Callithrix jacchus: one gene and its partners. The protein of the gene in region 2 purifies or fractionates together with the protein of the main gene of each other region. This does not show direct contact. Links are inferred from orthologs where the notes say so. Each region holds a gene or a part of one and is shown on either strand. Other genes may lie near its edges.

Evidence for each region.
Region 1: the proteins of DCAF1 (region 2) and COPS5 purify together in Homo sapiens (affinity purification with mass spectrometry; 8 studies listed by BioGRID and IntAct, with this or other methods). This does not show direct contact. The link is inferred for Callithrix jacchus from reciprocal best matches to the Homo sapiens genes DCAF1 and COPS5.
Region 3: the proteins of DCAF1 (region 2) and CEP78 purify together in Homo sapiens (affinity purification with western blotting; 3 studies listed by BioGRID, with this or other methods). This does not show direct contact. The link is inferred for Callithrix jacchus from reciprocal best matches to the Homo sapiens genes DCAF1 and CEP78.

Annotation. Positions count from the first base shown.
Region 1 is NC_133517.1:22,942,211-22,945,960, forward strand, and holds the start of COPS5 (COP9 signalosome complex subunit 5), read right to left. Parts: upstream 2,171-3,750; 5' UTR 2,037-2,170; coding exon 1,894-2,036; exon of another isoform or gene 1,807-1,893; intron 1-1,806. UniProt on the Homo sapiens protein: Probable protease subunit of the COP9 signalosome complex (CSN), a complex involved in various cellular and developmental processes.
Region 2 is NC_133516.1:34,070,937-34,074,686, reverse strand, and holds the start of DCAF1 (DDB1- and CUL4-associated factor 1), read left to right. Parts: upstream 1-1,294; 5' UTR 1,295-1,502; intron 1,503-3,750. UniProt on the Homo sapiens protein: Acts both as a substrate recognition component of E3 ubiquitin-protein ligase complexes and as an atypical serine/threonine-protein kinase, playing key roles in various processes such as cell cycle, telomerase regulation and histone modification.
Region 3 is NC_133502.1:104,719,512-104,723,161, reverse strand, and holds part of CEP78 (centrosomal protein of 78 kDa), read left to right. Parts: intron 1-686; coding exon 687-815; intron 816-3,650. UniProt on the Homo sapiens protein: Centriole wall protein that localizes to mature centrioles and regulates centriole and cilia biogenesis. Involved in centrosome duplication: required for efficient PLK4 centrosomal localization and PLK4-induced overduplication of centrioles.

The DNA of each region.
Region 1 (3,750 bases), on a different chromosome or scaffold from region 2:
GAAATAAAGTAAATGAAATGTATATAAAGTGCTTAGCTTAGTGCTTTACACATACTAGAAACCTAGTAAGTGCTAGCTGTCATTAGCATTATTAATTATTAACCTGTCTTTTAATCCTATTCTCAAAGAACAGTGTGTTGAAGGGTGGGATTCCCTGTATGTCAGCCTCAAATTAAAAAGTAGCTCTAAGATTATAGTTTCCTATGATCACTATTTCAGAATTTGTCATCAGTAAATTAAACTCTTGAATAAAAGTACATTTTTGTCTCATTGATGCAGTCCAAGATAGCTAGGATGAATATAATTAGAGTCATAATTAGACAGTGAGGCAGGCTGTTTCTAAATATTTAAGAGTACATCAACCTAAAATGCAGCCTGCTACAGAAAGAAGACAACCAAGCAACTTAATCAGCCATAGAGAGCAGTCAGTCAACGTATCTACAAAGTTTTTTTAGATGTCTGCCCACAGAAAGAATCCAAATTTAATTCCTAAGCTTTGCCAGATTTCAACCGAAAGCTGAAAAATGTGTAGACTTCATGTTGGAAGTCAAAACATGAATCGAAATCTTGGCTTCTCCCTTTACTGGAGAAACGAAGAAAGACAAATTACTATGCTCCTCTTACATATATTTTAGAGGACTCTTTTTATACATTATCTCATCTTTATGACAACACCAATAGGTAGGTCTTATTTACATGTTACGATAATTGAAGATGGATAAGTAAATTTCCTAAGGTCAATTAACTAGTTAGTGATAGTGTGAGATTTGATCTTAGGTCTGACTAATGCTCAGTTAGGAGTTCACTTATCTCAGTGTGACCATAAGTTACATAATGCATTTGCTTGTTTTTTCTTTTAATTTGTAAAAAAAAGGATAGATATACTGTACTGGGTTGTCATCAAGATTAAATGAGGTGGAAATCTCTAGCTAGGTGCCTCCACAATTCACCACTGTGGAATCTGAATACTGAGAGACGTCTACGGCCGTAACACCCTGAACGCACCTGATCTCGTCTGAGTACTGAAAGGCAAGGCTAGCCCTGTAAAAAAAAAACTGAAGCAGTAGAAGTAGGTCTTCTTTTTGACCACATCTCTCCTTTCTATCTATCCATTAGCTTTTGTGCTCTTTTTACTTTCTCCCAAACACTGCTCTCAGGAAAAAGAAAATATGGGTAAAGATCCCTTGACTTGTCACCACTCCCAGGGAAAAATGGATATTGCTAAAGGGCAAAGAGCCTTAAGCTCTAGTTTTATAATATTTGGTTTATGGGGACTGGTGGAGTAACATTTTAGAGACCAGGTAGAGCCTCCGTGTGTCTCCTAAATAATTACCAGCAATCGAAAAACTATTATAGGCCCAGGCCTGATGCTTGTAATCCCACCACTTTGGAAGGCCAAGGGGAAAGGATCGCTTGAAGCCAGGAGCTAGAGACCAGCCTGAGCAACACAGCGAGGACCCATCTCTATTTAAAAAATATAAAATAAAATAGTTCATAGCTATTTTTGAGACCTTGGGCTGCTGACTCGATTTCTGCAAACAGCTGCAGTCCCCAGTTTGGGGTAGAAGACCCAAACAAGGTGCATGCCGATACTGGGTTCAAGGCAGTGTGTGGGGCATATATGACAATACGAATGTTCAGAAGCAACAATTTAAATCACCGCTTGTTGTTCTCCCTTGACATCATCCGGGGACAAATGGGTTAAAGCGACAAAAAAGGGAGTCAAAGCCCCAGAGGAGGGCTTAGACTCTACTTGCAAATCCAAAGCGCCTATTCTGTCCCCCTCCCCGTCGGTGAAAGCTCTTCAGAACCCTTTCAACTCCCATTCCCTCCGGGTCTCTTAAACTCCCGCCACCCCTTCCCTCCCCTGCGTCTCGCCAGGGACCTCCTCACTCCTTAGTCCAGGGCTTCGCCGCCAGGATTTCTTGCTGCTGCTTCTTGTCGTATTTGTAGATTTCATCGATACTCTGAGCTTCCTGCATGTTGTTGGCCAATTCCCAGGTTTTCTGGGCCATACCGCTCCCGGACGCCGCCATCGCCGAGGAAACGGAGAAGCTGTCGTATCCACAACCAAGGGACAACTTTACCTCGCTAGGTCTCCTGGTGTGGGCCTTGGACCCTCCGCCCCACGGGAGCAAACTCTTAACTAGACTCTTGGGGCAGCCATGACACCTAGAACCGGAGGTGCAGTTAGTACAGACCATTCAGAGAAGACAGGGGTCTTTCCGGGACGTGACGATAAAAACAGTATTTACACTAATAGGGAGAGACAAATCTTCTTGTGGTTTAAATGAGAACATCTGGACTCGGGAAATTGTATGTGCGAAATAAACAAACAAAATTATAGGCTATGGTAATGGTATAGTCTTCCGCACCGGAAGACGGGCATGAACCTTCTCTCTTTGTACTGCGCAGACTCGGCCTCCGCCATATTAAAGGTAGGTGGAGCCTGGGATGTGGGGGGCGGAAAGTGTTTTTGTGTGGGTATAGGTACCTTAAACGAGATAAGTTTGTTGAAAGACTAAAAGGGAAGGCTGTCTGTTGTAAAACGGAGCTATACGTTGTTATGGAAGTTTGTTGAGAGGAAGAGAAACATGGCATTCCAGTTTACTTTAAGGTGATTCGTTGCACATGCGTAAAAGCTAACTGGCTTGTGGTGGCTTGGCACTTCGCATGCAGATGGGCTTTTTCTAGAGATGCGAGGATGCGGTGGGTACTCCTTGATTGATATTACCATGCCTTTTTGCGCGTCGGTAAAGGTTAACATCTGCATATGAATTACGTGCCATTACTGATCCGAAAATGCCCAGTACTCTGTTCTTTTAACAGGTTACAGTTAAATCTTTGGCACTGCTGTGAACCTCATTTGCCCCCAAGGCCTAATTAATCTCGGCAACTGGTTAGTTTTCTTCCTACAGTTAATACTATGCTTAGTTATTTTATTTATTAGTTTACGTGTTTTAGATTTTCTTTTTTCTCCATCTCTTTACTCCATCCGCGCAAAATTTTAAGTTTCAAGACACAGGGAGCAAGTCTGCTTTCCTTGTTTTATCCTCTAGCACCCTCAGTATATTTTTTTCCCTGAAAAGATAGCATCACAGGCCAGGCATGGTGGCTCACACCTGAAATCCCAGCACTTAGGGAGGCCGAGGTGTGCTGATCACTTGAGGTCAGGAGTAAGACCAGCCTGGTCAACATGGTGAAACTCCATCTCTGCTAAAAAAAAAAAAAAAAAAAAAAAAAAAAAAAAAAAAAAAAAAAAAAGAGAGAGAGAGAGAGAGAGAGAGAAAGAAAAGAAAAAACAAAAGAATTAGCCAGGCGTGCTGGTGCGCACCTGTAGTCCCAGCTACTCAGGAGGCTGAGGCAGGAGAATCACTTGAACCTGGGAGGCGGAGGAGGTTGCAGTGAGCCGAGCCTTTTTTTTTTTTTTTTGAGATAGAGTCAGACCCTGTCACAAAACAAAACAAAACAAAACAAAACAAAAACAAAACAGAAAAAATAGCATTACAGCTATTAACAACCTGGTCCCTACGCACCTCTTCAGCATCATGTCTCTTTAGTCTCCCCTCAAACTTTCCATTCTAGCAATGCAAATATCTTTACTTTGGCTTTGCATATGTGGTCAGCATTGCTTGAAATGCTCCTTCCTAACTTTTTTGCTTGGGAACTCATATTAATCTTTAAATATACAGCCCAGTGATACTGAACACGAACTCCTCGACACTCCAATGACCATTCCTTCCATGATGT
Region 2 (3,750 bases):
CTCTACCCTTTGGAGAGAGTAGGCACTGAGCACTCTAGTTTCTTCTGACACTCTTCTTCCTCTGTGTAATCCAGCAGTTAGGGGTTCCAGGCTACCAAGGCTACCAGGGTTGCTTTTCTTCTTTTTTTTTGAGACAGAGTCTGGCTCTGACACCAGGCTGGAGTGCAGTGGCACAATCTCGGCTCACTGCCTCCCAGTTCACCACCTCTGCCTCCCAGTTCAAGTGATTATTCTGCCTCAGCCTCCCAAGTAGCTGGGGCTACAGGTGTGTGCTACCACACCCAGTTAATTTTTGTATTTTTCAGTAGAGATGACCATGTTGGTCAGGATGGTCTCGATCTCTTGAACTCGTGATCTGCCCACATCGGCCTCCCAAAGTGCTGGAATTACAGGTGTGAGCCACCTCGCCCAGCCCAGGGCTGCTTTGCAGCCGAGTTTGGTCTATGTGCTTGCCCAGGAAACAGGTAGGAATGGATAGTCAGGCATGGCTCATACATGTAATCCCAGCACTTTGGGAGGCCGAGGTAGGTGGATCATCTGAGGTTAGGAGTTCGACACCAGCCTGGCCAACATGTTGAAACCCTGTCTCTACTAAAAATACAAAATTTACAGGTGTGGTGGCAGGCACCTGTAATCCCAACTACTTGAGAGGCTGAGGCATGAAAATCGCTTGAACCCGGAAAATGTACATCTCAGTGAGCCAAGATTATGCCACTGCACTCCAGCCTGGGCAACAAGAGTGAAACTTCATCTCAAAAAAGGAAAAAAAAAAAAAAAAAAAAAAAAAAAAAAAGATAGTCATAGAGGGATGGCACTGAGGAGAATATCTGGTCCCTGGATCAGGGGCCTTAACCTCCTCTTTCAATAGATCACCCAGAACATCAGTGATCAGGACACTTATATGTACTCAGCTGGGTCAAGGGTCCTCCTCCTGCCCTAGGGTCTCAAAGGACAGGACAATGGTTAAGGAATACAGGCTCAGACCCCAACCATTCTCATCTTTTGGTGATGACTGAGACCAGAGAAACTGACCCCATCTGGAGTCTCCAACAACCCTTCTCACCCACTAGAGCCTGAGGCTGGTCTGGTGAGCTCCTCCAGACTCTACACCTCTCTCCAGAGTCTACAGGCTGCTTATGAAGTCCTTTCTCCCCCAAAGTCATGCCCACTAGTCCCTGGTTGCCCTGGTCCCTGGTCCTGTGGTGGGGCAGCCAGCTTTGTGACTTCATAGAAGGCTATCTTGTGACAAGTCTGGGCCTGGTGAAGCAGGAGCAGGGCAAAGGGGGCTCCCCTTAGGAATATCATGTGACTTTTCATAGAGAGACATCTCCATCTCTAAGGGATGAAGAAGAGCTTCCCCACAGTAAGAGCCCATGACACCCTCTACACCTAGAAACTCCTCTCCTTGAGGATTTTGGCTCCCAGGCCTAACTGGGTACTCCAGGCTGTATCTGGCAACATCTCCAAGAGGGCCAGGCCCACGGTAGAGGTATTTACTTCAGGTGATGGGTGGATCTCTAACCTCTGAATTTGTCCCATTTGACAAAGCCATTTTTCTCTAGGCCCCCCCTCTCTTTTCTTTAATTTCAAATATTATTATTATTATCATTTTTTTATTTTATTTTGAGACAGAGTCTTGCTCTGTCACCTAGGCTGGAGTGCAGTGGAGCAATCTCGGCTCACTGGGTTCAAGCAATTCTTGTGCCTCAGGACTCTGAGTAGCTGGGATACAGGCGCACAGCCGGATAAATTTTGTACCTTTTTAGTAGAGATAGGGTTTTGCTATCTTGGCCAGGCTGGTCTAGAACTCCCAACCTTAGGTGATCCATCAGCCTCGGCCTCCCAAAGTGCTGGGATTATGGCGTGAGCCACCACGCCTAGCCATAAGAATGATTTTTATTTTTATTTTAAAATTATTTATTTGTTTATTTTTTTTAGATGGAGTCTTGCTCCATAGCCCAGGCTGGAGTGCAGTGGCGTGACCTTGGCCCACTGCAGCTTCCACCTCCAGGGTGCCAGTTCAAGCAATTCTGTGTCAGCCTCCTGAGTAGCTAAAGATCATTCTGGGCCGGGCACAGTGGCTCACACCTGTAATCCCAGCACTTTGGGAGGCCAAGGTGGGTGGATCACTTGAGGTCAGGAGTTCCAGACCAGCCTGGGCAACATGATGAAACCCCATCTCTACTAAAAATACAAAAAACTAGCCAGGTGTGGTGGTGTGCACCTGTAATCCCAGCTACTCAGGAGGCTGAGACAGGAAAATCACTTGAACCCAGGAGGCAGAGGTTGCAGTGAGAAGAGACTGCTTTATTGCCTTTTAGCCTGGGGACAGAGCGAGACTCCGTCTCAAGAAAATACAGAAATAAAAAACAAATACAGGGGTTTCTGAGAGCTTGGAGGCCAGGCCAACACAGACCCTCTCCCCAATGTTAATTCCACTCTTCTTCCTCCTGGAAGGATTTCCAACCCCAGGAACCTGAGGCAAAAGAGGCTGGGTGTGCTTGCTTTTTTATCTCCCCAGTACTTGTGCCCATGGACCATGTGGGCACTTACATTGTTGACTTTGTGGCATCTGTTTCTTTCTCTGTAAAGTGAGAGTGGTGGATGTGAATGTAATCAGACATAATTACACACCCTTTGGGAAATGGAGTGGCATTCCCTCTCCTCATTTTCTCTGGGGGGCTATCAGGGCCACGAGGCAGGAGCAGGGCACCCAGTGAATGACTGGGATTTCCTCTTTGTCTAGGCTGGTGTTCTCAAGGATGGTAACCTTGAGCCTCTAATTGGTAGCTTCTGTGACACTCCTGGACACTTGCAGTAGCAGTCTTGTCTAGCCTAAAGGAGAGCAGGGGTGGATATGGGACAGCTGGCCTCACTTCCCAGCCCTAGGGAAGGGCATTGCTGGAGGAAGCACAGGAATTGTGGGGTGACACCAGGGTAAGGATGAGCTGGTGGGTGCACCTGGGTAAGCCTAGAAGGTGCTGGGAGTGAAAAGCTCGTAGAAGGATGGGAGCAGGAGAGGGAGGAGAGTGAAGGAGAAGACTGAGGCCCAGAGAACCTGCTGCTGTCCACTTTCCTACCCAGGTAGTGGGTGTGCTTGGACGTGGGAGTAGGTAGAGCATGCCTATCTGTAGGCCTTGGTCCTGGGGCCAGGGCTGGGCTCTTCTTGCATTTTCTCTGCTTCTGGGCAGCTCCAAAAGCACTCCTCGCTCTTTCAGATGAGGCTTCTTCTTTCTCAGGCACACTACAGAGCAGGGGGTGGAAGAGGCAGGGCAGGGTAAGACAGAGTCCAAAGATGTCCCACCAAAGATGCCAATAAATCTCCTTCCAGTGATGCAGGACCCATGTGCCAGAACCAAGCCAGGATGTGGCCCTGGATTGTCTGTAGCTTTGTGTGTTCATATGCTTAGATGTGAAAGTATTTGTTGTGAGGACTGGGTGCCTAATGCATGCTTGTGTATCTGGCAAATGTAATACTTGAACAGTGAAATGTGTCACCAAGCACACTTGGAATGTGTGTGCAGTTGGGAAAGCCTGGGTGCTCCCCCTTCTCCTTCCCAGAGGTGGGAAGGAGGTGTTTAGGGGTGTCTGTAGGTGCATGGCTGTGTGCATGTCAGGGAGGGGGAGGTGTTGGCAGGGGTAGAGGAGGCTACAGGAGTTACAGAGTGCAGATTCCTGAGGGTGTGGCTGCTGGACAGGCCCTGCTCATCTTCTGCTCTGCTTCCCCAGCCTCTTAGGCCCTGGGTTCTC
Region 3 (3,650 bases), on a different chromosome or scaffold from region 2:
ATTTCACTAGTTTTGGCTTAAGAATGAGGAAAAGGTGAGGTTTTTGATGTGTAGTTTTAGTTGTGTGTATGTATTTGGTTAATTTTTTTTTTTAATTCTTGTTTTCATTTTGTAGAGACAGGGTCTTGCTATGCTTTCCAGACTGGTCTCAAACTCCTGACCTCAAGCATCCTCCTGCCTTGGCCTCCCATAGTGCTGGGATTACAGTCTATTCTAGTGTTTATTATTCACAGTTTAAATTATTCTTCCAATTCTTTATGAAGCCTCCACTGATGGATTTTTCTCCTAATAATTATACTTTCTTTAAGACTGTGTGTAGTGGTAGAGAAAAAATTTCTCATCTGCACTATAAAGTTGATCTGAGAAAAAAATGTTTATACTGCCTCCTTGCTGGGTTTATGTGAGAAGAATGTAATAAAATAATAGGGGTTCTTTTTGGAAAGATTTTATGAAAAAAGAAAATAATATGGGCAATTCCAATATTAATCATAAACCTTGTATAAGAGAATTCTGTCAGTGACATGGCAAGAATAGGTGTCTTTTTACTTTGTTATTGATTGTGTTAGGCTAAGGTGTAGTGATAGACATGTATAGCTTAACACTTCAGAAAGATCACTTTGATTAGATGTTCTTTATATTTGGTATTTGGTTTATATTATTATGCAATCTTGTCCTCTTTCTTTAAGCAACCAGGTTTTCCTGTGACTGTGACAGTAGAGAGTCCTTCATCCTCTGAAACTGAAGAAGTTGATGATTCCTCAGAGAGTGTTCATGAAGTGCCTGAGAAAACTAGCATAAAACAAGAAGCATTACAGGTACAAAGCTGTCACTTTAAAGATATGGAGAAGTTTATTTCAAACTGCAGTTAGTTTTGGTGAAAGCTTGATTGTGCACTGGACAGCTTGCATGGGATTTTCCCTTGCTTCTTTCTCATATCCCTTGAATGGTTCTTTATCATACAACAAGGTAAAAGGGAGGACGTCTGAACTCTAAGAAATAAAAATTGGAACATGTCATCAGTAATATATTTTTTTCCTTAGAATCATAGAATATTAGATTTAGGGAAGACCTTAATGATCATAAGATAAACTCAAAGAAATTAAGCACTGAATGAATGTACCCAGCTGATTCAGGACCCTTTGGGAGGTCTTATCTTTTTTGTGTATGCTAGGAAGTCCACAATTTATCAAAATAAATACAATTTTCTTTTAGTATGAAACTTACAAATATAGAAGGAATTATCCCTTTTCTATATACTTGTATTTAGCTTATAAACAACAGGAATTTATGTCTCACAGTTCTGGAGGCAGGGGAGTCTAAGATCAGGCAGATTTGGTGTCTGGTGAGGGCCTGCTTTGTGGTTCACAGATGGCTTCTCACCATGTCCTCACATGGTAGAAGGGCAGTTATCTTATTTTTATGTGACGATGGAAGTCACTTTTTGATTTTCAAAAAATGAAGACTGATTTTTATTTCTAAAATTAAAGTTAATGATAAGTAATTAGAGATTTTTTTAAGATAACTAATTACAAAAATAATAGAATATTGGAAAAATCTATAATCTAGAATTGTTCCTTTTATAAATGAGCACCTACAGTGTGTAGCACCTAAGTGGTTTATTACCAAGTTCCAGAGGAAAAACAAAATCCTAGAATGTCTAAGTCATGTTCATTATTGTTTTAAATGTGTTATATTTATTTTCTTCACCAGAGGATTAGGAAATTGTATTCTAAAAGTGATTGTAGCCATTGGGAAAGACCAAGAAGGTTAGGAAATATAACTTGGGAAGTTCTGATTCAAGATGCACTGAGAATTCTCTCAGCTCTTTTCTATTTTAAGAACCCCATGAAATGATGTTATCAAAATTTCTGAAATACGTAAGCCTACAGTAGTCAAGAGAATTGAAGAAATTTCAACGTAATTTTGAAATACAAAAGACAAATGGAAATGAGTATGAAACCGAAGCAGTAGAACAAAGGAAAACAGTCACCTAAAATATGCATAGGGAAGCCTACAGCTCAGAGGGAATCTAATCCCCACTGCAGAAATAGCTCCATACTCAGATATGCATATAGGAGGAAGGAAAGGAACCAGAAATGTGACTAACATAGAGGGAGCTCCTTGACAGTTTGTATATGGAAGAGTTGACTCCCAGCCTTACCTTCACTCTCCTAAAATGAGATCATTTGATTTTGAAAACCAGCAAAGTAACTGGGGAGAACGAGGGTAGATAGTGTGGATTTTGCACCCTAGAAAATGGTAGCTGAGGATATCCTGCCCTACTGGCTACCCACTTCTTCATACATAACAGAAGCTAGTCATCAGCTCCCAATGATCTTCTGCTCCCTTACTCTTAAATAGAAAACAACCTTGGTTCACCTGATAGTTTGAATAAAACTCACAACATGACAAGGAAAATAAAAGATGAAAGATATGTCCTGGTAGGACCAGAGCTAATTAAGAGGACAAAAATACTTTAAGAAAAAACCCTACTAAACATCTTTAGGTTTGTTAAGCACAAGATCAAAAGGTACAGTACTGTAAAACAGAATAGGGTGTTTTTTAAAAAGGAATAGCAGAAAGCAAGGGTAGTCTCTTGGAAATTATAATGGTTGAAATAAATTCATTAGGAATTAAGGAAATTTCTCATTAGCTAGAACAGAAAGGCAAGATTAGAAAATATTTGACAAAAATGATATGGTAGCGAGGTTGCATCTAGGAGGTCTAACGTTACTGTAAGAAAACTCAGAAGATAGAAAAAAATGGATGGAAGGAAATTACAAAACAAAAAAATCAAGAAAATTTGCCTTAGATAGATGCATATAAGTGGAGTCTTTATTGTGATATTTCAAGATACTGAGAAAAGAAAGAAATTCCTGAGAGAAAAATACCAGTCGCCTAAAAAACAATAAAAACCAGACTTTATCATAGTTCTTATCAGCTATCATGGATCCTGGAATTAGAAAGATACCTCCAATGTTTTAAAGGCAAATAATTGTAATAATTGTCAGCCTGGGGTTCCCCCTCCAGCCAAACTGTCAATCGTAAGTTGGGGCTGAATAGAATTTTTTTGACCTGTTCTGTACCTTTTCTTGTTATTTGAAAACGTAGTCCAGCAAAATTAGGGAATAAACCAAGAAGGAAGATAATAGGATATCAGGGATCAGTGGTTTCAATGCAGAGAGCACTGAGTCTGGATTTGAGAGGCTTCCATTGGTTGTGTGACTGCGAACTTAAAAAAACCTTGAAGCATATTACTATGTATTAGGCAGTGTTAGAAAGGAGGAGGAAAGAGAAGAAAAGAGGGAGGGAGAGAATCAAACTCCAGAGGAGGAGAAAGCTTTGTTGGCACAAACATAAAGCAAATTAAACTACTGAAGCAGGAGCAGTGAGAAACAAACCTCTTGAACACCGAACTGAGGAAGGAAGTGGCTTTTTGTTGGCTGGGAATTGGGGGGGCTACAGCTTCATTCACTGAGCTCCCTGAGAAGCAGCAGCTTTCCCTTTTTAAGGGCTCACAACTCTAAAGGGGGAGCAGAGGTGAAACTGTGTCATTGCCCATCAGCCAGGCAGCTGACCTCACAGTCTTTGGCTTTCATAGATTTGCTAATTTATATTTGGCACACACGAGAGGGAAAGAAGGGGAAGGG